4 linked regions of the Stegostoma tigrinum genome follow. The protein of the gene in region 1 purifies or fractionates together with the protein of each later gene. This does not show direct contact. Links are inferred from orthologs where the notes say so. Each region holds a gene or a part of one and is shown in the gene's direction. Other genes may lie near its edges.

Region 1 (8,347 bases):
ATCCCTCCTCTTTGTTGCTGGCAGTGCCAAACCCAAACAACGAAGAAGTCGTTGATCTTCGGGCACCAAATTTCACTGCTGGGCCTACCTCACTGACATTCCCTCCAACAATATAGCACCATTTGATTCCGATGCCAGGTCCCGCGCTCGTCCCAGAAAAGCAAGTAGAGACTACTCGCTAAGTCACGAGTCCCGCAGTGGGCCCACTTGCGTCCATGCTGGGATTCCTCGCTGCCTCTGGTGCCATCCAAGCTCAGGACAAGAGGTAAGTAAAGGAAAGGAAAAGAGGAACAAACAAGAAAGGAGAGAAAAAGAAAATAGGTCGGAGTGGATGAGCCCTGGCTCAGGAGCCCTACTCCACCACCATCTTGATGATGTCACATGAGCAAATGGTCTCTGCATAAGGATAAAAGTATAGCATTGGGCCATTGGCTGGGGGAAATAAGACAATAAGATGTAAAAGCAGACATAGGCCTATCAGTCCATCAAGACTGCTATACCATTCAATCAGATGATGGCTGTCCAGCTAATCTTCAACCCATTTTCCTGCTATTGCCCATAACTTTGATTTCCTTAAAGATGAAAAATCTATTTCAGCCTCGAATATACTTAATAACCCAGCCTCAACAGCCCTCCACAGTAGAGAACAGATTTACCATCCCCTGAGAAGATAAATTCCTTCTTATCTCTGTTTTAAATGTGTGACACTTACTCTGAGTTTATAGCCTGTGGTCCCAGACTGTCTCATGAGGGGAAATAACCTTTCCTGGTCAAGCCTCAACAATCTTATATATTTCAGTAAGGTCACCTCTCATTCTTCTATATAAATACAGGTCCGACCTACTCAACCTCTCTTCACAAGACAGCCTCTCCATTCCTGGTATCAGCCTTGTGAATCTTTTCTGAACTGCATCCAACAGCAGTATATCATTCTTTAAACAAGGAGCTCAAACTTTTGTATCTTCTATAATTTTAGCAAACACCCCTCCGTTTATGAGGTAACAAGGTGTAGAGCTGGATGAACACAGCAGGCCAAGCAGCATCGTAGGAGCAGGAAGGCTGACATTTCGGGCCTAGACCCCTCAAAATTTTTCGGATGAAGGGTCTAGGCCTGAAACATCAACCTTCCAGCTCCTATGATGCTGCTTGGCCTGCTGTGTTCATCCAGCTCTACACCTTGTTATCCCAGATTCTCCAGCATCTGTAGTTCCTATTACCCCTACTTTTTACATTCTATTTTCTATGAAATAAAAGCCAACATTCCATTTGCCTTCCCTAATACCTGCTGAACTTGGATGCTAGCTTTTTATGATTTATGGATGAAGACTCCCAAATCGTTATGTTTTGTAGATTTCTGCAGTTTTTATTACCATTTAAATAATATTCAGCTCCTCTACTCTTGTCAAAGTGCTTCATATTTACCCACAATATATTCCATCTGCTAACATTTTGCCTTCTTGCTCAGCACCACCTTCTCAAGAGCAACGAAGTATAGATAATAAATTCTGGCCAGACGGTCATGCCTATTTCATGACTGAATTAAAAAAAAAACTTGCTTAACCTGTCTTTATTCTCATTTAAGCTTAGCACAGTTGTTTCCAACTCAGGTTTCTATCTCTCAAGCTGGTTACTAAGTTCCACTATGTTAAACAACAAATAATTAATGTTCATCAACCAGGTTTTTTGTGATTTTTGTGTGAATGTTGTTTGTAGATGACAGCAGGCTATATGTTGTCACTCAGTGTGGTAGCATAGGATAGTCATAGAATTGCTGGGCAATGAGAAACAATTGTTATGGGAAGTAAGCAAGAGAAATTGGAAATTACTGTGCCTACTGATAATTTTATTCAACCTGTCTGCGTGCCTTACAACACATCTTGGGAATCGGTGTGCCTCGAACCTGGCTCGGAGGTAGGGACACTACTAGTGACCACAAGAGCACCCTTGCTGTGTCTATATTCAGGTGCAGAACACCCGTTGTCTCTCACACTCTCAGAATATCTGTAGCATGTTTGAAACCATTAAGTTTCTTGAATGTCCATGTACTAATGTTGGTTTCATCATCTTAATGAAAAAAATGAGTGCTGCTGAGCTGAGCTGTGCTTGATACGCTCTGCTTAGTTTTTATTTTTGGTTCTTTATATGCTCAAACAAGTTGTTAGGAAGGAGGATGTGCTAGAAATTTTGAAAAACATGAGGATAGATAAGTCTCCTGGGCCAGACGGGATATACCCAAGGTTATAACAGGGAGGGAGGGAAGAGATGGCTGTCCCTTTGGCAATGATCTTTGCATCCTCCCTGTCCACTGGAGTAGTGTGCCAGAAGATTGGAGGGTGGTAAATGTCACTCCCTTGTTCAAGAAATGGAATCAGGATAATCCTGGAAATTACAGACCTGTCAGTCTGTCTTGTGTGATGGGCAAATTATTGGAGAGGATTCTGAGACTTAGTATTTCTGATTATTTGGGGGAAAAAAAACAGTTTGATTAGAAATAGTCAGCATGGCTTTGTGAGGGGCAGGTCATGCCTCACAAGCCTTGTTGAATTCTTTGAGGATTTGACAAAACACATTGAAGGTAGAGCAGTGGATGTGGTGTATATGGATTTTAGCAAGACATTCGATAAAGTTCCACATGGTAGGCTCATTCAGAAAGTAAGGAGGCATGGGATTCAGGGAAATTTGGCTGTCTGGATACAAAACTGGCTGTTCAAAGGGTGGTAATAGATAGAAATTACTCAGCCTGGAGCTTGGTGACCAGTGGTGTTCTGATCTTTATAAATGACTTGGATGGGGAAATGGAAGGGTGGGTTACTAAGTTTGCTGATGACACGAAGGTTGGTGGAGTTGTGGACAGTGCGGGGGGCTGTTGTAGGTTGCTGTGGCACATTGACAGGATGCAGAGCTGGGCAAAGAAGTGACAGATGAAACTCAACCTGGAAAAATATGAAGTGATTCATTTTGGAAGGTCAAATTTGAATGCAGAATACAGGGTTAATGGCAGGATTCTTGGCAGTGTGGAGGAACAACGTTCTTGGGGTGCACGTCCATAGATCCCTCAAAGTTGCTACCCAAGTTGATAGGGTAAAGAAGGCGTATGATATGTTGGCTTTCATTGGTAGGGGAATTGAGTTTAAAAGCCGTGAGGTTATGCTGCAACTCTATAAGATTAAACCTTGGAATATTGTGTTCAGTTCCGGTCACCTCATTACAGGAAGGATGTGGAAGCTTTAGAGAGGGTGCAGAGGGGATTTACCAGGATGCTGCCTGGACTGGAGGGCAGGTCTTATGAGGAAAGGATGAGGGAGCTAGGGCTTTTTTCATTGGAGCAAAGAAGGATGAGAAGTGACTTGATAGAGGTTTACAAGGTGATGAGAGGCACAGATAGTGTGGATAGTCAGAGGCTTTTTCCTAGGGCAGAAATGACTGTCACGAGGGGGCATAACTTTAAGGTGATTGGAGGGAAGGCATAGGGGAGATGCCAGAGGTAGGTTCTTCACACAGAGTGTTGGGCATGTGGAAAATGCTGTCGGCAGTGGTATTAGAGTCTGATCGTTTAGAGACTTCTAACTGTCTCTTGGATAGGTACACAGAGGATAGTAAAATGTCCGATATGCTGGGTAGATTGATCTTAATAGGATTATAGGTTGGCACAACATCGTGTTCTATGTTCTTTTGTTCCCTTCACAAACAGTCCTTAAAGCAACTGTTAGAAACTGCCAAACATAGTTAATTGTGGAGTGAGGGAGAATGCAATTTCTCCAACATCTGTAGCACTATAGTTCCTGTTCACTCATGTTCATTGAGACTCCAGTTCTCCATTTCCCTCTCCTTTATTCTCAGAATCTGCCAGAAGATTCCTTCCAGTGTGTTAGCTGACCCAAACTATGTGCATGGTATATCTGCATCGGGGGGCCTGGCAGGCTTTCACAGTGGTTCAATTCCAAATGAGCCTTGGGCCTCTGGCATATTCTGAGGGTTATCCGGCCAGAGGATGCACCGAAATCAACTTCCATTCCAATTCCTTCAGATAAGGAATGGAAAAATTTGAATGCAAAGGGGTAAAGAGATGTTTCGTTTTCTTCCAACAATGTATGTTACTGTCATTGTAGAAATTCACATATTGTTTTTTAAATATAAATAAAAATGAGCAAGCTTATACTCACCTAAAAGGTTAAGCCATCTTTCCTTTTTAGAAGGGGCCAATATATTTATCTGTATTTCTGGTACTTTATGTTTTTAAAATTAAAAAATACCAAAAATGATTTTTTTAAAAAAGCCGCCATGGACATAAGCTGAGAAGCTGGCGGTATAGAAATTGGAACAAATCTAAAAACTAAAGTAAAATAATTTGGTGAAAGGTTAAATTTAATAAGCAACGATGAAGCCAAGAAAAATAATTAAATCTGGGAAGAAGGGAGTGGAAGGTTGTTTTTCAATGTCAGGATAAAGTATTGATTTTCACCTTTCTAAAGTCACAGTAACATTTTGTTTACTTTCAATAACTTATTAAAGGGAAGCCAGGTGACTTGGAGAGTACATAGGTGCAGGAAGTAGAGCAAAGTTTTACTCAGAATGGGTATGCACATATTATAAAATCTGTTAAAGGAATTTTTTCTTGAAATAATTATTAATAGAATTGAAATGTCCAAGGTAAAGTGAATATGTTTGCTTTGATCGTCCAAATAGTTGGTATCATTATTAACGTAAGATCTGCAGTTCTGGGAGTTTCCTTCTAATGTAATGGCTGACATCATTAACATCTTCCAGCCAATCAAGAGTCAAGGAGGTGGGTATTGGAGAGGGTGAACATTTGCCACAAGGTTAGCTATAAAACTCATCAACTTTAAATTGCAGCCATTTGAATATCTTTGTATAGAAGTATTCAAGGCTTTCCTGAATAAGCTGTTGTGTGAAGGAACTGAAAGTTCATCTCCCTTTTAATTGTTCACTGCATCATGTTTAGGCTGTTTCTGCTGCTCTCTGTGATTTTGGCTGCTCTAAAGCAGGCAGCTTCGCAGGGAAATGGATCTCTTTTCATCTCTAAACAAGAAGTCTTCAGGAGAGTGGTGGATCTCCTAGTCCCAGGAGAAGACATTTTGAGCGAGATGGCTGTCACCACTTTAATACATATCTTAGGGAACCGTGTGCAGTGTTCTGAGGTGTCGTGTGAAGAGGTAATTGCAAGGCTTTCTGATTATTACATTTAGGGAACAAACTCCACTGCAGACTGTTGGTGCCATCTGAAGGTGATTTTAAGCAGTAACTCATTTTGCTGGATCATTTTATATTGCAACATATTATAGGCACCAGTAGGATAATCAAACTGTGTGGTATTTTATAAAAATGAGTTAAGATAATGCAACTTTAAATTTCTGTCTTTAAGTTTATATATATATATATATATGTAAATGCAATGGAATATCGTCTCTGTTAGAAAAGTTTATTTCTTCAAATTTGTGCATGTTCTATTGCCACTATTCAAAATGATCTTAGTTAATCAGCAAGTTGCCACCTTTTGTTAAGTTTATTTTTAAAAATAAAGGCAATGTATTATGTTTATCCATAACTGGAGGATATTTTTCACAGATCAGATGTAGACTAACATTTGAGAAATAACAGCATTGCACAAGAGGACATTTTAAAAAAATAACATGACAAAGAATTATGATTATTGCATTTTACTGAGAAAGAAATTTTGGTAACTTAATTTGAACAATGCAGTGGAAACAAATCCACTCATACCACAAAAATGCACTACTCACCACGTATCAACTAGAAAGATGACTGGGGGTCAACAGAAAATCAAGAAATATTATGGCAGGGAGAACTTCTGTAGGCTAAAGAAAGGCAAGGAACTATCACACAGCTCTGGGAGATCTGAGTAAAGGAAAAGAACAAACATGTAAAGCCACCTAGGAGCAGTGAACGATCAAGAAAAGAGTGATAATAGTCTGAGTTGTAATGTAGAAAATACAACAGCCAAATTATACAGAGCAATTTCCCTCAAACAACAATATTTAAATAAGCGTCTAAACTGTTTCCAGCGATATTCCTTGAGGGAAAATATTGGCCATGACACCACGGAAAGGTCCCCTTCTTGGCTTCGAAATAGTGCTATCAGTTCTCTGACATCCAGCTCTCAATAGAGAGATGGGGTTTCTGTTTTGATATTGCATCTCCAAAAGTGCAGCACTCTCTCAGTATTACGCTAGAGCTCAGGCTTGATTTTTGTGCTTAAACCTTGAATCCGAAATTTTGTGATTCAGAAGCAAATGTGCTATCTGAGCCATGATCGACAGTGAAATATCCTCAAGGGTATTCAAAAATTTAATTTATTTTTCAGATATAGTTCAAAGTTAGAATATACTTTGTTTGCAATAAGTCAGGATGATCAGCCAAAATCATGGAAGCCTTCAGAAATCTGTCAAGAACATAACTGGGTGTTTAAACAGCAATTAAAAATACTGAAAACAAACCACACGAACAATCTGTTTGTGATTATTTCCACGGCTAAAGTTACTGGTTGCCTAGCATGGGAGAAAGGAAGGGAAGGGAAACTAATATCCCTCAGTTTACCATAATTCAATAGCCCTATTAACAAAACTCGTTGAGTAAAGGTTAGAATGTATTAACATTCCACAGATGAAGCTAGTAACAGTGACTTCGTAATTACCCTTTACTCTCATGGGCAGTGAAAGACTTTTTTCTTTCTTAGATTAGCAACTGCTGTATTTATCAGATCCAATCTCCATTGTGACATTATTCTTTAGAGATTATAGAGTGTGAAAGGACCTCACAGGTTGTTTCCTATTCAATCTCGAAGTCTATGGTCAAATTATTGAAAATTATGGGGAAGTAGGGGTGAGGTGGATATTTGTTTATTTACCAATGATGGACCCTGTGTAATTTGGGGGTGAACTCGGGCCTGGATGGGAACATGGTGGGCAAGGTACCTGACCGATATTATGTGCCCCACCTGGGTGTGTTGTAATATCCAGCCTAAGTAAGAAGGCTTTTATGCTGCTCTGGCCCATCTTGTTTCTAAATATTGCTGGTATTTTATGCACGAACAGACTTGTCTAGGTCTAACCTGCCCTAACCTGTCAATTCCCTTCCTTATTTTGAAATGCAAAGGAAACAAATCAAACTACAAATGGTTATTTCCTCATAACTGAAATTGTTGGTATTTGTAATTATCCTTTCTTGCGTCCTTTCATGTCAAACTAATTTGTTTAACCATGAGTTGTGTTTATATGGCACCTTTAAGCATAATGACATGTCACCATTGACCAGAACCTTAACTGAACTAGCCATGTCATAACCAGGTCGGACTGGAAACTTCTGACTTTATCTTATTTATTCTCTTTTGGGAGGTGGACATCACCAAAACTTGTCCGATATTTCACAGGACAATATTTTCATTTATTCACAGGACAATATTTTCAGTTATTCATAGGACATGGGCATCACTGGATAACCCAGCATTTATTACCCATATATAATTGCCCAGCAGGCAGTTAAGAGTTAACTACATTTCTATGGGACAGAAGTCACATGTAGGCTAGACCACATAGGTTGGCTCATTTCCGTCCCTGAAGGACAATAGTGAAGCAGTTATGATAATCAACAGTGGTTACGTAACACAGACTCTTATATGGGCCTGAACAACAATGGGCTATGGCGAAAAAAAACACGAGTTTTCTTTAAATTTTTGAATTGAGTTGTCTTCTAGCGCGCTGTATAATGAGAAACTTGGGAGAATTCAATACGAAGTCAGGCAAGGCCTTTTCTCAACATCAGGAGCAACTTGTTGCATTGACAAACAGCATTTCGGGGTGGACGTAGGGGGAGAATCGAGACAAGATTTTTTTTAAGAGAGCATGAATTGCCTATTAATGGTGATTATTTCTTGTCAGTTTCATTCACTGCAAATCTTGCCTCATTAATGCGCAGATTTCTATTCTACCACCTGTTGCTTACACCTCTGGACTTGGGCACCCAGCATCACCATTTCAGTGTATGCTCCATGGCACGTGCCACAGCTGCTGACTCAGACTGACTTCCGAACTCTGCAAACTCAGCAGTTAACAAGGCTTCTTTGGACAACAGCATAAGAAAACTCTCACTCGGCCTTATTGAGAGAAACCCTCTATCCCTCTATGTAACTCAATAGAAGTGACTCTTTGTCAAAAACACGTATGATTCAGCGTGATGACTTCAACGCTGGCATGTTGAGATTTTAACCATTGTCCCCAGAGCTTTAGCACGGAGCGTTGGATTACTTATGGAATGACATTACCTCCTCCCCTTTGAGGGTCAATTATATTGCTGTGCAACTGATGTCATG
Region 2 (7,601 bases), on another chromosome or scaffold:
GCAGGTCAGCCAATCCGTGCCAGAATTTCTCCTTCACCCAAGTCTCTTTTTTCCTCCGCTAAATTGAACTATTTCAGCCATCTGTTCTTTTTTCCTCAGTTGTTTTTCATCCTTTAATGGGATGTCAGCTTTGACCAAAATTACCTTTTGTTGCCGATCCCTGATTGCTTTTTAACCAGGTGGCCATTTCAGAGGGCTGTTAAGAGTCAAACATTTCTGTAGATCTGGAATCACATGTAGACCAGGCTTTTAACTTCAAAATCTATTAGTTGAATTCACATTTCATCTCCCTTGGTGGGATTTTAACTCACCACCCAGAATTTAACCTTGGTCTCTGAATTAGTGGTGCATTTGCTTGTTTTGGCCACTCCTAGTGGATAGTGAAGTCAATATTCTGACTTCACGAGACATTTTCTCTGAATTTACTATTGCAATTCTTGGTGATTGTGTCATGTTGATAGCTCTATGTAATGGTCCCCCTATTGAGAGAAAACGTTCTTTTGAAGATTTTTGTTTGACCACCACTTAGTGGGTTTTTTCTTACGGACGCTGTCAGTCCATTCCCGAGAAATATCTACCCATGTATTTCTGGTATCATCCTAAATCTTCTGTACACACTTTTCATTGTGTCTACTGTATATTATTTTTATCTAATATGATGGCCAGAGCTGCTTTTTCAATGAAAGTGCAGTACAGGTTTAGAGTAAGTTATTCAAGCCTCTCTGTAGAAATAAAGCCTGCTGCTCAGTTTGGGTTTTTGTAGCCCTGTGAACCCATGATGCAATTTTGAGTGATTTGGTATATCTGTACTCATGATATCCCGTAGTTTCTCTATCCATGCATCTTTTAAGTTCTAAGCTGTTTCCTTATTCCAACCAAAGTATACCACCACGCAACTACTGATTGCAGAATCCCTGCGGAGTTGGAAAGAGGCCATTGAGTCTGCACTGACCCTCTGAAGAGCATACTACCCAGTCCCTGTAACCTGCATTTACCACGGCTAATCCTAGCCAGCGCGTCTTTGCAACTGTGGGAGCAAACAGGAGAACCTGGTGGAAACCCATGCTATACCAGGAACATATACAAACTCCACACATAGTCATCAAAGGCTGGAATTGAACTTGGGTCCCTGGCACTGAGACAGCAGTGCTAACCAGAGAGCCACTATGCTGCTCTTTTATGTTGAGCCTCATTTGCTAATTAAAAAGCTGTTGGAAAATCTCAGCAGGTCTGGCAGCATCTGTGAAGGAAAAACCATTAATGTTTCCGGTCTGGTGACTCATCTTCCGTTCTGAAGATGGGTCACTGGACTGGAAATGTTAACTCTGTTTTTCCCTTCACAGATGCTGCCAGACCTGCTGAGATTTTCCAGCAGCTTTGTTTTTTGTTCATTTGCTAATTATTTGCCTCGCTGTACATTGTGTTTAAGTGGCGATTGGAAAGACATTTTAACTCATTTGTAGCAATGTTTTTGTTGCTTAATATTGAAGTGTGACAACACAGGTTTCCAGAGTTCCAATAATTCATAAGTTGTGTAAATGATACACATTAGCTTGTTAGGATGGGCACGAAAACTAAGGAAGACTTGCTATGAAATATTTGTGCAGAATAAAACAGTTGTGTTGCCTGTATATCAAACCTCATTCAGTTAGCTCCTACATAATATGGTTTCATAGTTTATTATAGCTTTGTGTTTTGATCTGCTTTGTCATCTTGCTGATGTTTTTTAAAAAAAAACTATCAAAATGGGGAGGTGTCTGGCCATGCTAAATTGCCCATAGTGTCCAGCGATGTGTAGATGTGTAATCATGGATATTGCAGGGTTATGGTGATAGGGTAGGGAATGGGTCTAGGTGAGATGCTCCTTGGAGGGTAGGTATGGACATGGGCCAAATGGCCTGCTTCCACAATGTCAGAATTCTATAATTCTAAAAATATACCTTCAGTGAATCATGCCCATTAACGAGGATAGATCTAAATTACATGAAAATAAAATTCTAATGTCAATAAACAATTTAATCTGTAGCATTGATATGCAGAATAAATAGCTTTTGCTGAAAATACTTAGCTTAATACATGTAATACAGAATTGGATTCTGGCCTTTTGGCCAGGGTGACTGAAGACAAATCAAGTGAGATGCAGGAAGGGAGAATACTCGAGCTGAAGAGGACCTAAAAAAGTTTTGTATGAGATGTTGAGGCAAAGCCAGTAGTAATTGGCCACACAGTTTGCTCAATAAATTGTTTTTATTCAACGAACTGAGCCATGGACAAAATCAGCCTTTCGCAGAAATGAGGGTTTTCTGACAGTGGCCTGAGGTATTGAAAAGTTGCATGTTAGCAGTGCTGCTGCTACGAAATGGAATTCTCTTCGGTCATGCAAATGCAACTATAATGTTACTAGTCTGTACAAATGTCTTGGGAGGAAAATTGAGCCAGTGGCAAAGAAGTTGACGTTAAGGAAGCAAGTGAATATGTAAGTTGTAATGCAGCAAGGCAGTACAACAATACAGAAACAAAGTTGCTGGAAAAGCTCAGCAGGGCTGATAGCATCTATGAAGGAGAAAAGGAAAGCGTTCATGTTTATGGTCTGACTCAACGTTAACTTTTTTCCTTTGCAGATGCTGCCACATCCGCTGAGCTTTTCCAGCAACTTTGTTTTTGTTCCTGGTTTACATCTGCCACAGCTCTTTCAGGTTTTGTTTTGGTTCAACAATACAGACGGGTTGTGGATTTTGCTCACCACATGCGAGATTATACCATTGAAGGCTGGGCATATGTATAGTGGGGGAAAAGTTTCAAGGCTATTAGAAATACTTGAGTTGCAACTTGATAAAATGGTATTTAACGGCACAGGAAGAGGCCACTGTGCGTCGTATCTGCATCTGCTGTGTAACGAGCCATCCCATTTCGTCTACTTTCCAGCATTTTGTGCATAGCCTCCTGCAGGTTATGGTACTCATACAGTAACTACAGTGCGGAAGTAGGCCATTTAGCCCATTGAGTCGAGGAGATGTGAGATCATCCCATCCCTGTAACCGTGCATTTCCCAAGGTCAATCCACGTAATTTACACACCTTCGGACTGTGGGAGAAAAATGGAGCACGTGGAGGAAGCCCATGCAGCATTGGGGTTCCTGAGACTGAGGCAGCAGTGCTAACCACTGAGCCACTGTTTGTACCAGGGCGTGGAAGAACGTAGTTCCTTGCTCTTTGCTAAATCAGTTATTTCATTTCAGCAAAAAGCAGAAATTTTGGTATCATAACGCCCAGGGCCAATTATATTGGGCGGAGGTGTTAAAATCTGAGAACTGTGGAGTCGCAGAAATGGTGAGTACTAAAGTAAAAAGTTTATAATATTGTTCCTTCAAGCGGATTAAGCTTAAAATGAAAATGGCAAGACCGGGAATTAAAAATCCTCGTACTGAAGTATAGCTAGGAAATAATGCACAGGGCAGACACTGTCCAAACTTTTAGATTTTTGATTTCTTTATCCCTAATCATAACATGAGAACAGCTTATTCTCGGTGCTAAATAAAAACCAAAAGAACTGTGGATGCTGGAAATCTGAAAAATTACTGGAAAAGCTTAGAATTCCTGGGACCATCTGTGGAGAGAAAGCAAGAGTTAATGTTTCAGAGATGGTAGGAACTGCAGATGCCTAGGCCCTTCTTCAGAAATGAAAGTTTCTGAAATGCAAGTTAATGTTTCGGGTCGAGTGGCCCTACCTCAGTCGCCAACTCTGATTTCTCTATAGATGCTGCTCGACCTGCAGAACATTTCCAGCAATTTCTGCTTTCGCTCCTTGTTCACAACTCCATATTTATATAGCAGGCGAAATGCAAAAGGGCCAACATCAATTGGAAGACAAATGCAACAACTGTTGATATATATATATTATACATATGTATATATTTCAGCAGTTATATATATGTCAATACAGTTTAAGTGACGAATCATCAGTAAAATTACACCGTTTTAAAAGTTTCAAATGTTTATGTAATTTAGTAAAGTTGCAGGAGCAATGGCCAATGCGTGTAAAAATACTATTTATAAATAGCTAAGTAGGCAACGTTAATTAGAAAATAGGGAAATACCCGGAGTGTGGAGTAAGAGAGAGAATAAACAGTAGAGTACCGGAGAGAGCCAGATTGTGAGATTAAGTTTTTGGAGGGTGTCACTGCGCCGATGTGGGTGTGTTGGGAAATGTTTGAAACATTTCACTGGCGGCAGCTCGGGGGCGGTGCAAGCTCGGCGTCTGCAACAATAAATAGCAGCACCAGGAAACGCTCGGGACCTTTGGGATGGTCCGAGTGATGCCAGGGGTCAGGCCCTGACTCTCTTCCACTCTCCCTTCACTGTTTCGGCTGCACCGAATGGCCTCCCGGATTCTGTTACTTAGCCGGCGCGGCTTAACCCCACGCTGTCAGCAGGCAGCCGCCGAGAGTTTGCAGTGGAACCGGCTCCCGCGATATAGCTCGGGGCTCGCGGCCGGCGGGGGTTACCATGGTAACAGGGCCCCGGCCTCGGGCCTGCAGCCCCCAAAGCAGCGGCTTGACGCCGAGCGGGAGACGGAGCGGAGCCGGCTGCCCACCACCGGAGCGTCACTGGTGGATGCCAGGAGGCTGCTAACCCTGGCCTACCCGGAGCGGTGGCCGCTCTCAGGTAAGCGCTGCCATCCGGGAGAGGGTATGGAGCGGAACCGGGTCAGTGCTTCCCCTCTTTGGGGGTCGGAGGTGGTGACATCCGCGTCCAGAATATTCCTCAGATCAGCCGCTGAGCCTCGTCAGCACCATTTCCCAATTTATGTTTAGCTCACCTTCACTCTCTCTCTCTCTCTCTCTCACACACACACACACGCCCCGTCATCAGAAATCTCACTTGTCTGCTGAGCTGCATTAACCGATTGGGCAATACCATGAAATGATGCTAGAGAATTACATGCCCATCATGCTTTTTCGAAAAGAAATGCTCCCAAGAGAGGATGTCAATTTCCCGGGCAGCAATTTCTTGTGTCCTCAATATTATTGTCAGTTTCTAAAGCTGCAGGCGGAAACTCGATTGTAAAAGGGCATGTGTTTTCACGGTTGTGGTATTCAATCAAGGGAGTTGGCTGTATTTGTGCATCAGCAGCCAGTTCTGTGTAATAAATTGCCCATTAATCGACCCCCTTATCTTTGCAGTACAGTCAGCCTGCCCTTGAGTTGCTCTGATATCTACAAGTTTGTATTGTTTTCTCTCCCTAGCTGCTGTGGGCTTCTTGGGTGTGTCCAGCCTGGTGACCATGTCTGCTCCCTTCTTTTTGGGAAAAGTTATTGATACCATTTATATGAATCCTGTTGGAGAGAATGTAACTGGGAGCCTGACCTCACTGTGTGCTATATTGAGTGGTGTCTTCATTTGTGGAGCTGCTGCCAATGCTGTCCGTGTCTACCTCATGCAGATTTCAGGTAAGAAAATGTCTGTGCAACAATTTGACTGCAAGGGACTTCTGGTGTTTGCATGCTTGTGGAGGAAAATACAGTGCATGTATCGTAAGGTTCCACAAAAATAGAACTGAATTTTAGAATAGCGATATAAGACACTGAGGCCATCGGGCCAAATTGATGGTCAGAACCAACTCCATCTCACCTCTGAGATAACAAGGTGTAGAGCTGGATGAACACAGCATGCCAAGTGGCATCAGAATGGGATAACATCCCAAGAGAAGGGTCTTGGCCCGAAACGTCAGCCTTCATGCTCATCTGATGCTGCTTGGGCTGCTGTGTTCATCCAGCTCTAAACCTTGTTATCTTTCATGCTTTTATGTTTTTTTTATTCAAAGGTATTCATGTAATTCATCTAACTACTCTTGGAAAACATGCAATTGTTATCAATCTCTTGGTAAAGTTTCTTAAATTCCCTGTTGGCCTTGTGACTATGTATAACCCATTTCAATGTTAAACTACCTATTCCAAATTTAACTCTGACAAGCCTTTCAGAGTTTAAGATCGCAACAAAACCACACTTTTCCAGACACCAGAGCCCTAGCCGTTCTTGATAGTTGAAACCCACCTGTCAAGTTTCCTTGTAAATCTGTTCTACACTTTCTCCCATGCTTCGCTGTCCCTTTTGTAATCTGGAGATCAAAACCGTACACCGTATCCCCCAAGTTCGGTTTAACTGACTCAATGTAAGTTTTAACAAACCTCTCTGGTTTTGAATTCTATTCCTTAGAGCTTTGTTAATGCACACTTCTATTATTAATAAAACCAAAAAAAAATGGAGGCTGGAAATATGAAAATAAAATAAATTGCTGGAGAAACTCAGCTGGTCTGGCAGCACCTGTGGAGAAGAGGCAGAGTACATGTTTCAGGACCTTTCTTCAGAACGTCAGAATTTTCCCATATTATGGTCTGCGTTGTCTTTCTCTTTGACTTAGCAATATCCATCCTTTTGTCTGCTGCCTGCTCCTCCTTCACTTGTCACTTACTCTCCCCCCCCCAGCAAATTCACCACATTTTTAAAACTACTATGGTCTGAAGGATTTGTGAATGTGTACCCATGTCCTGATCTCTCTGCTCACTTTTTAGCATGCTTATTATTCCACCATAGTACAGCACTCCCTTTTTGCAGTGAAAAATTGTTTCCCATTTACACAGCCGTTCTGAATTATTAAACTTGTCTTTATTACTCAGTGCTCCGTTATATTAACTCTGCCCTGCAACATGGTGTCATCTGCAAATTTTGGTATTCTGCTTCTGACTCCAGAGTGTTTTCATTTGCCCACTGGATGTGGGTATTGCTGGCTAGACCAACATGTATTGTTCAGAGAGAAGTGTTGAGCTGCTTTCTTGAACGACTGCAATCTGTACAGTGTGCATTTATCCTCAGCGCTACGAGGATAGCGGTTCCAGGATTTTGGTAACATAGTTTTGGTGTGCAGTTTGGAGAGAAAGTTGAAGGTATTAATATTTCATTTGTGTATTGCTATTGACCCTCTTAAGTGGTAGAGGTCATGGTTTTGGAAGGTGTGTCAAAAGAGCCTGGGTGAGTTACTGCATCTTGTTGATAAGATGCACACTACTGCAACTGTACTTCAATGGGGAAGGCAGTGGATAGGGTATAGTCAAGCAGGCTGCTTTGTCCTAGATAGAGTTGTGTTGTTGAGCTGCATTCATCCTGGCATGTGCAGAGTATTCATTTACACTCCTGACTTATTCTTTTTGCTGGTATTGTACATTGGGAGTGTCTCCCTGTTCTTCAGATAGTACATGGGATTGTTTATACCTCACTGAAGAGGGTGAAGTGAACCTTGGAGAGGAAATGGCCTAATAGTATAATGACTAGATTATTAAACTGGAGATCTGGTGATGTTCTGGGGACCCAGGTTCGATTCCTGCTATGGCAGATGGAAGAACTTGAATTCAATAAAAATATGGAATTAAGAGTCTAACAATGACGATGAAACCATTGCTGAATTGTCAGGAAAAACCCATCTGGTTCACTAGTGTCCCTTTAGGGAAGGAAACCGCCATCCTTACCTGGTCAGGCCTACATTGACTCTAGACCCACAGCAACTGCTGTCTGGGTATTTAGGAATGAGCAATAAATGCTGGCGTA
Region 3 (8,495 bases), on another chromosome or scaffold:
GGTTCCGAAGTGCTTCGCTGTCAATGAATGATCCTTAAAATGCTGCTGTGTAAGTGAATGCATTAGTCAATTTGCCTACAGCAGGTTGCTGCAATCATTAAGGAGTTAAGTGCATATTTAAACAGTTTAGCTGCTGTTTTTTCTGCGAGAAAACTCCAAAAGAAAGGTTTCTGTTTTTCTTCAAATGCAGTGATGGACTCTTCACAACACTTGACAGGCAATGAATTGTCAGCCTAGGTCATAAACTGAAATCCTGGAATGGGGCTTGGACCCACAACTGAATGATTCAGAAATTATCGCAATTGAGCCAGACCCAATAACAATTAAAGTATTGATGCAGGTTGTCAAATCTATCAACAAAACAAAAATAACCAGGGTTCAACCAGGGAGGGAAAGAACCGAAAGACAGAGAGTTTATATATTGAATCATGGTTAGATAGCCCTAGGAGTACTCCACACAGTTCGATTCTCCACACTATATAACTGGTACAGAGACAATGGTGAAAGTACAAAACAAAATTACAAGGACTTGGCCAAAAAGGGAGAATAGATCTATGACGAAATATTAACAGACTGAAGTTCTTTGCCTCAGAAAGAAGGCTGTGTGTTTAAACCTGATGGAAGCCTTCAAATTCATGAGAGGGTTTGACAAGATAGATGGAGAAGATGTGTCCACTTGTAGGGACGTCCAAATTTAGAGGTTATGCTAAAATGTTACAGAGACAGTTTATATTTAACATTGTATTGAAGTGTTATTGAAACAAAAAAAATCATGTTTTATGGAGATACTGGGAATTTTTTTGAGGGGGTCACTGAAAGTCATGTGGAAATGTAGATATTTTTTCACCAAGGTTTCCTGAGGATCAAATGACTGGTGCTAACTACTTGCTTTGCGGTAGATCTTGTGTTGAACACTGACTGCCTTGGAAAGGTTCTTGTTTTATCTGGATAAGTTGCAGGGAAGCCTGCAAAGAGCAAGCTGAATTGGTGTCAAACTTGCTCAGAAGAGGCTGCCCAGTTGATCTCTCCGAAAGATGAGATGACATAGGAGCAGCAGTCGGCCATTCAGCTCATCATGTCTGCTCTGCCATTCAATGAGATTGTGGCTGATCTGATCATCCTCAACTCCACTTTCCTGCCATTTGTTTAAAAATCTATCTCAACCTTGAAAATACTTAACAACCCAACGTTGACAGCATTCTGTGATAAAGAATTACACAAATTTAATAAGAAGAAATTTCTCTTCATCTCTATTTTAAACGCATGATCCCATTTTCTGAGATTATGCTGCATTGTTATGGACTCTCCCACAGCGGGGAAACAACCTCTCTGCATTTAACCTGCCATGTCCCCTAAGAATCCTTGAGATAGCAGGAACTGCGGAAGAGTCCCAACCAGAAACATCAACTTTCCTGCTCCTCTGATGCTGCCTGGCCTGCTGTGTTCCTCCAGCCCCACACTGTGTTCCCTAAGAGTCTTTCATGTTTTAATAAGGTTGCCTCTCATTCTTCTAAAGTCCTACTAAATGTCACCTCATAAGTCAGTGCCTCCATACCTGGGATCTGCCTCATTAACTTTTTCTGTACTAATTTATATTTCCTCAGTTACGGTGCCAAAACTGTTCACTGTGGTTTAACCAGTTCCTTGTATAATTTTTGCAAAAACTTCTCGAGACCTCTCCACATTTATACTCAACTCCCTTTGAAATAAAGGTTAACATTCCATTTACCTTCCTTCTTATATGCAGAACTTGTAAGGCAGCTCTTTGAGATTTATGCATGACATTGCCTAATTCTCTCTGTGCTGTAGTTTACTGCAGTCCTTTTAAACTTAAATAATATTCAGTTCCTCTATTCTTCTTGCCAAAATGCATTCTCGATTCTGAAAAGAAAACAATGTACAGTATTTCAGGGGGAAGCCTGTTTGTTCGAAGATTTTCAAAGATTGATTGAGGGAACATCTCAAGGTTGTGTTTGCTGAACAAGCTGTGTCTGAAAGACTTCAGAGGCACCTGTGTATGATTAGTGACTTGACCACATGTGCCAGAACATCACAGCAACAGATTTCAGATCATCCTACACTCTATCATTTGACTCACTGAGTCATAGGATATTACAGCATGGAAAGGGGCCCTCTGTGCCCATGCTGATCATCTATTCCAATCCCATTTTCCAGGCCTTTATGCTGTGTCATATCAAGTGCTCATCTAAATACTTAAACGTCTTGAGGGTACTTGTCTCTACCACACTCTTAGGCAGTGAGTTCCGGACACCCGCCACTTTCTGATCAAGGTGTACAAAGTTATGAGGGGAATACAGAAGGTAGACAGAGAGAAAATTTTCCCCTTTGAAAGGGAGTCAATAGCCAGGGGACACAGTTTTAAGGTAACCACACTCTGGATGAAAATAATTCTCCTCAAATTCCGTCCAAACCTCTAAAACGAAATCTTAAAAGTTTGTCCGCTGGTTATTGACCCTTAAGGTCAATATAAGGGGAAAAAATTTTCCAGGTCTACCTTGTGTATATCCCTCATAATTTTATACACCTCAATCAGATACCCTTCAGTCTTCTCTGCTCTAAGGAAAACAATTCCACCCTACCGTGTCTCTCATCAGAGTTGAATTACTCCAGCCCTGACAACATAAATAATCTATTGGTCAAAGTAGTTCCTTTTCTTCCAGAAGGATAATTTCTGCAAAAATGTTTTTTGTTCTCTCTTTTCCTGAACAGCGTTTGTGTATGTTTGACTTCATTCCATTCTCCTGGTATCTCTGTCCCTGTCGTATATGTTCCGCTGAGGCCACCTTCGACAAGGAGCCTCCAAAATGTCCACCTTCTTCCTCAACCAAGGATTCTCCAGCACCATTGTTGACACAGCTCTCAACTGGGTCTGACCCATCTCCCCGACTTTCCGCTCGTAACAATGATGGGGTTCTCCTTATCCTTCCCTACCACCCTACCAGCATCCACATCCAGAAGATCATCAGTCACCATTTAAGCCAGCTCCAGTGAGACACCATCACCAGACACATATTCCCCTTCTCTCCCTTGTCTGCCTTCCACAGGGACCATTCCTTTCAAGACACCCTGTTTCACTCTTCCTTGACTCCCAAGAACTCCCCACAGCGCTATGGCACCATCCCCTTCAATCGCTAAAGGTGTGACACCTGTCCATTTACCTCCTCCCTGCCCAATACCCAGGGCCCAAACACACCTTTAGGTGAAGCAGCACTTTACCTGCACTTGTCACAATCTAGTTTACTGTATTTGCTGCTCACAATGTGGCCCCCTCTACCTTGGGGAAATGAACATAGACTGAGTGACCACTTTGCAGAACATTTATGTTCTGCCTGCAGAAATGACCCTCAGATTCCAGTTGCCTGCCAGTTTAACACACCACCCTGTCCCCTGGCCAATGTTCTGACTCAGGCTTGCTGCAGTTCTCCAGTGAAGTGAAGCTCAAGCTGGAAGAACAGCATGTCATTTTCCGCTTGGGAATCCTGCAGGCCTCTGGACTCAATACTGAGTTCAATAATTTTAGGGCCCAAACTCTCTCATGTCCTAGTCCCCAACCCCACACACCAGGCCTTGTTATCATATAGTCTGCCATTACACACTGCCTATTGTTAGCCACTAACAGTTATTCATTCTCCTGGCTAGATCGTTATCTGTTCCTTCGTCTAGCCAACTGGTCTTCTCTCTCTTTGGGCTCAATCTCTAGCTATTGCTTACACCTTATCCCCTCCCTCCACCTTATCTTCTGCATGTAAATCAATATTTTCCTAGCTACCCTCAGTTCTGAGGAAGGGTCACTGAACTTGAAATGTTGACTCTGATTTCACAGATGCTGCCAAACCTGCTGAGCTGCTCCAGCAACTTCTGTTTCTGTTTCTGACTTACAGCATCTGCAGTTCTTTTGCTTTTTATTTAGTGTTTGTGTATATTTTGGAGATACTTAAAGGGATAAACTTTTCTTCTTAACTTATTTATTTATTAAACTTTGTTTTGGTGATAAACCCATAGTTGGGCATATTAAAAATGTACTTGGTAAATCCTGCTGTTTAAAATCCAATAAAGTATTTAATTGGTGAAAGAAAAACAGCGGTTGCTGCAGAAACTCAGCATGTCTAGCAGCATCTGTGGAGGGACAGAGTTAAATGTTTTAATTCAAATATGACTGTTTTTCAGAATAGCGAGGGCTAGAACACTGAAGATACCAGATGATAACTCTTTTTATTTGATTTGACTGATGTATTGTTGTCACATGTAGTGAGATATAGTGAAATGTGTTGTTTTGTGTGCCCTACTGGCAGATCATGCCATACAAAGTGCATCAGGTAGCATAACAGAGTGCAGAAAACAGTGCTTCAGCTGCAGATAAGTTGCAGAGAGATTGATCCACATTAACATTTGACAGGTCCATTCAAAAGTCAGATAACAGTGGGGAAGAAGCTGTTCTTGAATCTGTTTGTAAGTGTATTCAAACGTTTAAAACTTCTGCCAGACAGAAGAGGGCGCAAGAGAGTATAACTGAGGTAGGTGGAGTCTTTGACGATGTTGATTGTTTTCCCCAGGGAACAAGAGTATAGATGGAGTCAATTGATGGAAGTGTGGTTTGTGTGACGGACTGCGTTGTGTCTATGACTGCCTAGAGTTTCTTGTGATCTTGGGTCAGCAGTTGCCATACCACCCACGATGTGCCCTGATAGGATGCTTTGCATAGTCTGTTTCTGTCTCCTAGATGCTTCCAGATCTGCTGAGTTTCTCCAGAAAATTCTGTTTTTATTTCAGATTTTCAGCATCCACAGAATTTTACTTTGATTTGACCGGTGGTAACTGGAAAGAGGATATTTATTTCATGTGGCCCATCAAGTAATGGGACAAGAGTGACAGCGCACTCGTCTCCAAGCTTGGTCGCAGCGATGTTACAATTAAAGAGGAAATTAAACGAAAGAGGTTTTCATCTAGACGACAGTGAAGCAGTATGGAAGGGGGGGGGTGAACACATCAGGGAGAATGGAACAGGTGTTGCTGATGGGCTAGGAGGAGGTTTCAGTGCAACACAAAATTCGCAAACACTGGATGGGCTGAATAGCCTTTTGCTGTGCTGCAAATTCAATGCAAACTACGACCTGGCCATATTTCCGGGGTCTGGTTTTGAGTGAGAAAAAATGTTTGCATTCTTGTTGTTCTTTATTGGGACATTCACTTTACTGTATCCTCTGAAACACAAACCCCAAAACATAGCCGACTGCCTGAACGACGAATGAGCAACGTCAACCAATAAACCCACCTTGCGCCTGCAACGTTGATCAAACATAATCGGAAGTCGGCGTCGGCCAGTGGGGCACGCCGGGAGTTGTAGTTCGGGTGGAGTGAGGAGCGGTCAGAGCCGACACACCAGCGCAAACATCGAGCTGTAGTCAGCGCGGAGTTCGGCAACTGTGTCCTGGAAGTCCGCTGCAGCCATGAATGTGGTCCTGGCAGTAAAGCAGTATATTTCCAAGATGATCGAGGAGAGCGGGCCTGGCATGAAGGTGCTGCTGATGGACAAGGAGACGGTGAGGACCGGGGAAGGCCTTTCCATGGGAGAGGAAGGATGGACGATCATTCTGTCCATCTAACCCTGTACTGTACCCGGGGAGAGTGACCGTCAGTCACTGTCCATTTAACGCTGTACTGTACCTGGGGAGAGTGACCGTCACTCACTGTCCGTTTAACCCCGTACTGTACATGGGGAGAGTGACCGTCACTCACTGTCCGTCAAACCCCGTACTGTACCCGGGGAGAGTGACCGTCAGTCACTGTCCGTCTAACCCCGTACTGTACCCGGGGAGAGTGACAGTCAGTAACTGTCCGTTTAACCCTGTACTGTACATGGGGAGAGTGACCGTCAGTCACTGTCCGTCTAACCCCGTACTGTACCCGGGGAGAGTGACTGTCAGCCACTGTCCGTCTAACCCTGTACTGTACCCGGGGAGAGTGACAGTCAGTAACTGTCTGTCAAACCCTGTACTGTACATGGGGAGAGTGACCATCAGTCACTGTCCGTCTAACCCCGTACTGTACCCGGGGAGAGTGACCGTCACTCACTGTCCGTCTAACCCTGTACTGTACTTGGGGAGAGTGACCGTCACTCACTGTCTGTTTAACCCCGTACTGTACCCGGGGAGAGTGACCGTCAGTCACTGTCCGTCTAACCCTGTGCTGTACCCGGGGAGAATGACCGTCAGTCACTGTCCGTCTAACCCTGTACTGTACCCGGGCAGAATATCCGTCAGTCACTGTCCGTCTAACCCTGTACTGCACCCGGGGAGAGTGACCGTCACTCACTGTCCGTCAAACCCCGTACTGTACATAGGGAGAGTGACCATCAGTCACTGTCCGTCTAACCCCGTACTGTACCCGGGGAGAGTGACCGTCAGCCACTGTCCGTCTAACCCTGTACTGTACCCGGGGAGAGTGACAGTCAGTCACTGTCCGTCAAACCCTGTACTGTACATGGGGAGAGTGACCATCAGTCACTGTCCGTCTAACCCCGTACTGTACCCGGGGAGAGTGACCGTCAGTCACTGTCCGTCTAACCCTGTACTGTACCCGGGGAGAGTGACCGTCAGTCACTGTCCGTCTAAACCCGGACTGTACCTTGGGAAAGTGACCGTCACTCACTGAGCGTCTAACCCTGTACTGTACCCGGGGAGAGTGACTGTCAGTCACTGTCCGTCTAACCCCGTACTGTACTTGGGGAGAGTGACCGTCACTCACTGTCCGTCTAACCCTGTACTGTACTTGGGGAGAGTGACCGTCACTCACTGTCCGTCTAACCCTGTATTGTACCCGGGGAGAGTGACCGTCACTCACTGTCCATCTAACCCCGTACTGTACCTGGGGAGACTGACCATCACTCACTGTCCATTTAACCCCGTACTGTACCTGGGGAGGGTGACCGTCACTCACTGTACATCTAACTCCATTCTGGTAGAGACAGATAAAAAACCTGCAGATGCTGGAATCCAAGGTGGACCATCAGGAGGCTGGAAGAACACAGCAAGCCAGTGCACATCTGGTGGGAAGGAGAAGTGAACATTTCAGGTCTTACCCTTCTTCAGGATTGGATGTGGGCTTTGGGGGAGCTGCTGATAAAGACAGCAGGCAGAATGTTGGTAACAGGCGGGCACTGGTGGTAGGTACAAATTGGTTGGTCAATGGGAGAGATGATTCTGGTTGATGGCTGGAACGGAAGGTCACAAGGTGGAATGGAAGGGAGGCGGTGGGGCTGGAAAGGGAGTCGGGCAATGGAGTGGAAGTTTATTTGAAATTAGAGAATTCAACATTGAGTCCTCTGGGCTGTAGGGTGCGACACTGGAGGAGTTTGAGGACGGACATGTTGGGACGGATGGGAGTTAACATGGGTGGTTACTGGGAGGTTAGGCTGTCCGTTTTGGACCAGGCAAAGATGCTCATTGAAATGATTACCGAGTGTATGTTTGGTCTCACCGATGTAGAGAAGACCACATCGGGAGCACTGGGCACAATAGACTAGGTTGGAGGAGCAGGTGAAGCTCCGTCTCACTTTGAAGGGCTGTTTAGCGCTCTGGATGGAGGTGAGGGAGGTGGTGTGTGGGCAGGTGTTGCATCTTGTACTGTTACAGGGGAAGGTTGGAGTGGTTGGTGCGCTTGGTACCTTCCCCTGTAACTGTAAAAGATGCAACACCTGCCCACACACCACCTCCCTCACCTTCATCCAGAGCCCTGAACAGCCCTTCCAGATGGCACCACCTGCATCTCCTCCAACCTAGTCTATTGTGTCCAGTGCTCCCGATGTGGTCTTCTCCTAATCGATGAGACCAAACATACACTCGGCAATCGTTTCACCGAGCATTTTTGCCTGGTCCAAAATGGACAGCCTAGCCTCCCAGTAACCACCCTTGTTAACTCCCATCCCTCCCAACATGTCCGTCCTCAACCTCCTCCAGTGTCACAGTGACTCAGAACACAGATTTGAAGATCAACACCTTACCTTCCGCCTGGGCACCCTACAGTTCTCCAGTTTCAAATAGTCTTCCCACCCATCCCCCATCTCCCTTGCCAGTGCCACCTCTTCCCTTCCATCCCACCTTCAGACTTTCCCTTCTAGCCACCAGATTCATCCCTCCCATTGATCAACCAGGTCATGCTTACTACTAGTGTTCATCTATCACCACCATTCCACTACACCCCGTCCTCCCACTCTCTTTATCTGCAGCTCCCCCAACTCCCACATCCAGTCCTAAACAAAGGTAATACCCGAAACATAGACTTCTCCTTTCCTCGATGCTTGCTGGCTTGATGTGTTCTTCCAGCCTCCTGTTTGTCTCATTCCATCGCGTGCCTGGGGAGAGTCCATAAAGGACTTTACTCTGTATCTGACCCTGTGCAGTACCTGTCCTGGGAATGTTTTATGGGCCTAGACTCGACAGAGCTTTGCTTTGAGTTCAAAAGAATAGATGGAGCTT
Region 4 (7,801 bases), on another chromosome or scaffold:
CTGGGCTCTCATTATCACATTTTTGAAGACTTCCCACTTCCCAGCCGTCCCTTTACCTGCAAATATACAAGACCCTCTCTCCACCGCTCCCCCCAGCAACACCCAATCAACTTTTAGAAGTTCTTGCCTAGTACTGTCAAAATTGGCCTTCCTCCAATTTAGAACTTTAACTTTTATATCTGGTCTATCCTTTTTCATCACTATTTTGAAACTAATGGAATTATGATCACTGACCCCAAAGTGCCCCCCCACTGACACCTCAGTCACCTGCCCTGCCTCATTTCCCAAAAGTAGGTCAGGTTTTGCTCCTTCTCCTTTAGGTACATCCACATACTGAATCAGAAGAGATTCTCGTACACACTAAACAAATTCCTCTCCGTCAAAACCCTTAACACTATGACAGTCTACGTCTGGAAAGTTAAAATCCCCTACCATAATCACCCTATTATTGTTGCAGATAACTAAGATCTCCTTACAAATTTGCTCTCAATTTCCTGCTGACTATTGGGGGGTCTATAGAACAATCTCAATAAGGTGATCATCCCCTTCTTGTGTCTCAGTTCCACCCAAATAACTTCCCTGGATGTACTCCCAGAAATATGCTCCTGTAGTACAGCTTATCAAAAACACAAGGTCTTTAACTGTCAATTCTTCTACATGCTGCTTCCTGGGCAAAGTCTATTAGCTACAGTGGCTCAGATTAAATAATGGATTGATTTGCGAGTGCATAAAATATTTTCACAAAATATTTTTAAAACACAGTGTTCACAGTATATGTGATACATTGATTTATAATATACAAACTTTAACAATTATATATTGAAAATTACTACATGTTTTATCACTCCTGTTTTTGTTGGCATCTTGTATCATGTTCAATTTTAAGTGTTAAAATGAAGTCATTTTAAAAAGTAGTTTTAGAAACTCTGGGATACAAGAATATGCCCATTAGAAAACCTTCCAGGCCTTCTTTTAAAATAAATCACAGATTAGCACTTGAAAACTGTCATTTTGAAGAGATGACAGAGGAACACCATCACAGTATGAACTTCAGATATATTCCAGGATACTACTTGAGTTCCATCATGCCACTCTTGGGCAGCCACCATCACTTCACCCCCTCAAATTCAACTTGTTTGTCCATTTAATGTTCAGCACACCCGGATCTTGGTGGAATTGAACTGAGCAAGTTCTTCCTCAGTAAATGCATCCTAACAACACTGTTATGACACTTGCTGTTCCTTGGCAGATGATTGAATTGAGACTGGATAATAGGCTGGATGTCCTTTTTTTGTGTTAACAGGACACGCCTTTGCAACTTCCTTTTTGCTGGATAGATTCCTGTGTGGTGACTATATTGCAATAGCTTAATGAGAGGTGTGGCTAGTTGTGGAAACATGTCCTCAACACAACAGCCAGGATTCCACATCCAGTTCACTTAGCCATTTCTTAAGGTCACATGGAGTGAATCAAATTGGCTGAAAATTACATCTGTGATAATGACAACTCATACCCTATCTTTGTTTTTTGTTCTGCACATCCTACTCATTTAAATGCATGAGACTTTTAAGTTCTTTTTCTTGACCTTTCACGTACATTAAGATAAAATGGCTGACTTCTACTTGGCCTGTATGGGAACTTCCACATTGCTATTTAGAGGGAAGGCAGCTTAAAGGGAACATTCGTCAGTAATTTCAGGATGGATCAGCTGGCTGGCACATCTGGTTGAAATTGTTTATCAAAACCTTCAGCCTTGCCTTTTGCAATCAGAAACTCAGCTCATTCCTTGTTGACCATGGGGATTTTCATAGAACCTTTCCCTTCCTATAGTTGTTTAATTGTTTAGCACTATTCACATGTGGCAGAACCACAGAGCTTTGATCTGACCTATTAATGTGAGATCATTCAGCTCTCTCTTTAGTATGGTATTTGGCAGTTCTTTAATGGTCAATGTGAAGAGCTGTTCCGACACTATATTACAAGTATAACTTGGGCTGCATGTGCTAAAGCAATTACATTAGTCAAAAACAGGGTGGATTACTTGCAGGTTGTGATGCTTCAACTGTTGAATATTGAAAGAGTTTGATCACATTGAAGACAATCCAGAATTACCAATCCCCAAAAACCTTCGGACTTTTCTGAATTGTCACTCAAATTTTTCTGGACCTCTCTGAACACTTCTGGCAAAGCAGTTTAATAACAAAGCAGGCAAATGGTGCACCCTCTGAGCTCACCCTTAAGTGCTGAACAAAGACCTATTGAATGACTGACAATAGACATCCCTCAAAATAGTGGTCTGCACTCAACAGGATGCATATTTTCCATGCAAGGATATCACATTGCCTCCTTCTGTTATGTTGTTTTAAGGACAACATAGCATACTACGATGGTCACCTGAATGAAATTATTTACGGCAGATTGTGAACAAATGTAGCCTGTGAAAATTTTTTGCAGGATTCAAGGCAATGCATTGAACAACCCACAAATCTGTGACTTTGCTGTCCCATTTAGAATTAAGACTGGTAAAACCCTAAGATGTAATACATAACAAGGGAAAGAATAGGAAGCCTAATGCATGCAGCTTCCATTGTTTAATGGGCATGAGTTCATGTGTTGTAGCTTCACCAAGTTGGCACATTATTTTTAGATATGCCTGACATTGTTCTTGAACCAGAGTTGGACTCTTGGCTTGATGGCAAAGTTAAAATGAAATAAATGCAACAGTGTACAATTTTGATGCGATTGAGGGTCCAAAGCATAGCAAGGAGATCCAGTTTTGAGCTGCCAGATCTGTTGTGGAATTACATCATTTAGCATGTATCCAAAATGAACGTATGCTCCCAGGAAAATAGGAATTTCTCTACCAATGTAAAGTGTTGTGGTCACTCCTACAAATACTGTTCTGAATAAATGTGTTAGTGACAAGTTAATCGCTGAGGGCAAGTTCATTTAGGTATTTCCTCTATGATTGTTCCCTCACTCTGAAAAAACCCAATCTTTAGATAACACAGTGTGGAACTGGAGGAACACAACAGGCCAGGCAGCATCAGAGGAGCAGGAAAGTTGATATTTCAGGTCGGGACCCTTCTTCAGAAATTTCTGACTCCAGCATTGGCAGTTCTTACTAACCCCCAATCTATAGATCTATCTTTGAGAACAGATCATGTTCAGATGCTACTGAGCAGTTCTTGATAATTGATTTTGAATTTTCCATCCCCACATGTTGGTTATCCTTGTGCTTCCACAGTGCTTCTTCCAATAGGTGTTCAACATGGAGTACAGCTTCATCAGCTGAGTTAGGATGGTTGGTGATAGTTAGCTAGAAGTTTACTTGTCGGTGATGCTATGAGGATTCATGGGATCCAGAATCAAGAATGAGGATTTATAGCATCACTACCTCCTGATTGTATAGGATTGTACCATCATCTCTGTGACAGGCCATTCTCAGATGATGGTAAGGTCTGGTATATTGGCTATCAGGTATGATTCTGTGGATAGTTCAGTGTCAAATTATTACTGGATTGATCTGTGGGACAGCTTTTTCAATTCGGCACATATCCGCTGATGTTAATGAAGAGGATATTGCTAGATGCAAGGACTAAGTAACTGTTTGTTGTATTGAGTTATTCAGCTGGGTTATCCTTTCAGTTTTATTCCAACTAGAGTATTTCATATTGAGTGACTGACTTGTACATTTAAAAGGGAAATTAAGAGTCAACCACTTTTCTGTGGGTTTGGATTTCCATATAGTTGGGACCAGCAGATTTCCTTCCCTAAAGGACATAAGTAAACTAAGTGGGGCATGAATACAACAATCCAGTGGTTTAATGTTTACTGTTATTCATTTTTTAATTAACTGAATTTAAATTCTCCAGCTGCCCAGATTTTGAATTTGAACTCTGGTTATTCATCGAGGAACACAACTGCTGAGCCATCTTACCAATGTTCAGAAATAAGGCTAAAACAAAAATGAAAATTATGTTTGGAACACAATATCTAACAGTTCTTGCACGGATGGATTGCCTGGTATTTTCTTTACTGCACCATCTGCACCAAGGCCAAGGTACAATGAGGCAGGTCAATAGAAAATAGGGTGGATTGGCCTTCTGCTGGATACTCACCCTCAACTTGGAAATATAACATAAAATATGCTAAACCCTATCCACCAACACCTTTCCCCATCCAGACCCAGCCCTACTGTTAGTCTGAGCTAAAGAGTCTTGAATGGACTTTAAATGGTGGAAGGGCTTGGAGTTAGAAAACTGACCAAATTCCCTGCTATCCATACGAAAGCTCCATCTCATTTCCACCTTCCAAAGTGCATAAAATGACAGTCTTTGAACTGATGATTGCATTAGTCGATTAAGTGATGCCGTTTCAGGAAGGAAGCTCTATTCTTCCTGCATTGACGCAAGAGCATTGACATTTCAGTGCCTGAAATAAAGTTGAAGGGTTTGTTTCAAATAATGAAATAAGTTTACTACCAGCCTAACTTGCAGAACAACTGGAACTGGACTGAATTGGTGAGCAAAGTTGATATTATATTTTGTGGGCTTCTCCTTTGAGGTTACTGAGAAGATTTTCTCCAAGATTTTGTTTTATTTTGTAGTTGCTTATTGATTGTGTGATTCAGTTTTGCCGCTTAGTACTTCCTCTGTGAAAGACAGAAGTTGAATTTCTGAAATGTATGCTGCAGAGAGAGAGGGATAAAGATGCAAGCAGTGTAGTACACAAGGAGCATGGAAAAGGTTTCAACCATTGTACTGGCAACTAAAGAGAGTAGTTTTTTAAAAATAATTTATTAATCTGGTCCATCTAGCAGAGTTATGCACCGGTTTGTTACCTCATGGGTCCATGTGACTAATATTATATCACCACAATCAGTATTTGGAACTCAACATTTGCTCTCTTTTCTCAGTGAAAAGGTTTCTATTTTAAATTAAGCTCTACCATTTTCCACAAAAAATGGCATAGTAGACTTAAATTCAACAAGGTTTCAAATACGGAATGGTAATACCTGAGTTTCTGTAGAAAGTTGATCACTTTTGATTCCCTCTAAGTCAGCTCTTTTATGACCATGTTCAGACATAGCAACAGCAGAGTTATTCCTATAAGTTGAAAATATGGGTCACAGGAAATGTCCCACACCTACCTTTCATTGCTTTGCCGAATACTGATTAGAAGAAATGTGAAGAAATGTTCATTTTTGCAAGTTATGTGAAAAGTACAACTGTATCTTATTGCAAGTTTGATGAGATCCTTTCATACCCAGAAGGAACACAGCAAGTTCTTTGTGTGAGAACTAATGATTGATTACAAGTTGCTGCAAGTCTGTAGTGGCAGTTGGATTCTTAAGTCTGTTTAAATATCTGAGCTGAGGGATTTGAGTGCAAAATATATGGTAGTAAAATAGTTTTAGAAAATTACGGATTCCAGCTCTTCAAGGACTACAGGATTTGCAGTAATATTTTTTAAATAACACGGGAGAATGAATAGAAGATTGATGCAATTTTTGTCAGGGTTCATTTTAATATAATTAAGATGGCATCTCTAGCATTTTTTTAATCCCAGATCCAGTGGTTGGTGTTCATTTATCAAAGATTTTCAATGTTATAATTCTTGGAGTAACACTAACATTCAAATGAGTTATCTTTTACTTACAATAGTTACAATACGAGCAGCATTCTACAGCTGAGGGGAGAGGTGAATGCTAAATCAGCTGGAAAGTTGATCCAGTTTCCTGTCGGTTCCAGTGTATTCTGGAATTTTCCTCCAGGGGATAGTGGGGATAGGGTTGATGCATTGCATAACATTAAATGAGAGGAATATATCACCTACTGGTGAAATTTTCAGCTCATCCACAATATCTAAAAAAGAATTCAATTGTCACGGAGTCATAGAGTCATGCAGCATGGAAACAAACCCTTTGGTCCAACTCATTCACGTTGACCAGATATCCTAAATTAATCTGATCCCATTTTGCAGCATTCGGCCCGTATTTCTCCAAACCCTGCCTATTCATGTCCCCATCCAGAAAACTTTTAAATGTTGTAATTGTACCAACTTTTGCCACTTCCTCTGGCAGCTTATTGCACACAGACACCACTGTCTGCATGAAAAGTTTCCCTTTATGTCAGTTTTATATCTTCCCTCTCTCATTTTAAACTTATCCTTCTCGTGTTGGACTCTGCTACCATGGGAAAAAGACTTTGGCTATTCACCACATCCATGTCCCCCATGACTTTATAAACTTCTATAAGGTTAGGCCTCAGCCTTTGACACTCCAGGGAAAATAGCCTCAGTCTTTTCAGCCCCTCCCGATAGCTCAAACACTCCATCCCCAGCAATATCCTTCTGAATTTTTTCTGCACCCTTTCAAGATTAACACCATTTTTTCCTATGGCAGGGAGACCAGAATTGAAGGCAGTGCTCCAAGAGTGGCCTGACTAATGTTCTGCACAGCCGCAACATGACATCCTAATTCCTATACTCAGTGCATTAACCAATAAAGGTAAATGTACCAAACGCCATCTTTGCTACCCTGTCTACCTTTGAAACCATCTTCAAGGAATTGTGCACCTGCACCCCAAAGGTCTCTTTGTCCGGAAACACTCCCCAGTTGAGCGTATTAACAACTCATTCAATAATACGCTACCCTGCCATAATATAGCTGGCTGAGGACAGGATTCTTGTCAGTCTGTCCACAAGTTGCCATCTTACCTTCCGGCGAGTGCGGGAGCAGCTCATTCCCCATTAAAGGTCTGCCCACAGTGTCAGTTTCTGCTTGAATGCTGATGACACCTGCTTTATCTTACATTGACTGCCATTTCTGATCCCTTTACTGTCTCTAAATTGTCAAGATGCTGAAAATGTCCAGTAGTAGACAAACAGAAATTTCCAGAAAAGAAAACGGATAAATGGGACCACTAAAGCAATAGTGTTCAGTTTTGCCGTAAACTTTGTTGCCTAGCATTGACCTCATCCTTCCCACTGTCCACTATGTGGTGATGAACTTGACAATTCTTAACCCTATTGTCATATTTGACTTGAGATCAGCTTCCAATCACAGCTTTCAAACCATCACTAAGCCTGTCTATTTCAACCTTTATGGCATCACCTTATAGATTCAAACCTTATCTCAGCACATAGCTGCTGAAACCGTCATCTCTACTTTTGTTATTTCTAGACTTGACTATTGCTATGCACACCAGACTAGCCTCCCACACTCTAATCTGTCAACATTCTCCAATGAATTTAAGATGAACCAAAATTCTGCTTCCCATGTCTTAACTCACACCAAGTACCACACGAACATGAGAAGTTAGGAAAAATGACCAGGAGTAGGCCATCTGGCCCCTTGAGTCTGTGTCACCATTCCAGAAGATCATGGCCAATCACTATCTTAATTTTGCCCTCCAGTTTCTCCCCTTTCCCTTTGATTCATTTAGTACCTAAAAGTCTACTCACCTCTGACTTGAATATATTCAATAAATGAACATACATAACTCCTTGGGTAGAGAATTCCATTGAATCATAACCACAATCATCTTATCACAGGATAAGAAATTTATCCTTAACTCAATCATAGTGGCTGACCCTTTTTCTGAGATTGCAACCCTCCACCCTAGATTTCTCAGTCTGTGGAAATTTTTTTCAAAATTTACCTTATCACACCTCTTAGGAATTTTATATATATATCTCTCCTTATGGGCAAATCCACTCAGCCCAGCAACCAGCCTGGTATCAGTCTAGAGCTATCTGCCTTTAGGGAAGCAAACCAAAAGTGCAGACTATTTCAGGG

Evidence for each region.
Region 2: the proteins of zinc transporter ZIP4 (region 1) and abcb10 purify together in Homo sapiens (affinity purification with mass spectrometry; 3 studies listed by BioGRID and IntAct, counting the BioPlex papers as one, with this or other methods). This does not show direct contact. The link is inferred for Stegostoma tigrinum from reciprocal best matches to the Homo sapiens genes SLC39A4 and ABCB10.
Region 3: the proteins of zinc transporter ZIP4 (region 1) and vps45 purify together in Homo sapiens (affinity purification with mass spectrometry; 3 studies listed by BioGRID and IntAct, counting the BioPlex papers as one, with this or other methods). This does not show direct contact. The link is inferred for Stegostoma tigrinum from reciprocal best matches to the Homo sapiens genes SLC39A4 and VPS45.
Region 4: the proteins of zinc transporter ZIP4 (region 1) and agpat4 purify together in Homo sapiens (affinity purification with mass spectrometry; 3 studies listed by BioGRID and IntAct, with this or other methods). This does not show direct contact. The link is inferred for Stegostoma tigrinum from reciprocal best matches to the Homo sapiens genes SLC39A4 and AGPAT4.

What each region holds. Positions count from the first base shown.
Region 1 is NC_081355.1:158,138,187-158,146,533, reverse strand, and holds the start of zinc transporter ZIP4, read left to right. Parts: upstream 1-4,840; 5' UTR 4,841-4,955; coding exon 4,956-5,174; intron 5,175-8,347. UniProt on the Homo sapiens protein: Selective transporter that mediates the uptake of Zn(2+). Plays an essential role for dietary zinc uptake from small intestine. The Zn(2+) uniporter activity is regulated by zinc availability.
Region 2 is NC_081362.1:804,005-811,605, reverse strand, and holds the start of abcb10 (ATP-binding cassette sub-family B member 10, mitochondrial), read left to right. Parts: upstream 1-4,232; 5' UTR 4,233-4,375; coding exon 4,376-4,664; intron 4,665-5,245; coding exon 5,246-5,449; intron 5,450-7,601.
Region 3 is NC_081400.1:976,684-985,178, reverse strand, and holds the start of vps45 (vacuolar protein sorting-associated protein 45), read left to right. Parts: upstream 1-5,354; 5' UTR 5,355-5,468; coding exon 5,469-5,561; intron 5,562-8,495. UniProt on the Homo sapiens protein: May play a role in vesicle-mediated protein trafficking from the Golgi stack through the trans-Golgi network.
Region 4 is NC_081362.1:24,999,609-25,007,409, forward strand, and holds the start of agpat4 (1-acyl-sn-glycerol-3-phosphate acyltransferase delta), read left to right. Parts: upstream 1-4,409; 5' UTR 4,410-4,523; intron 4,524-7,801. UniProt on the Homo sapiens protein: Converts 1-acyl-sn-glycerol-3-phosphate (lysophosphatidic acid or LPA) into 1,2-diacyl-sn-glycerol-3-phosphate (phosphatidic acid or PA) by incorporating an acyl moiety at the sn-2 position of the glycerol backbone.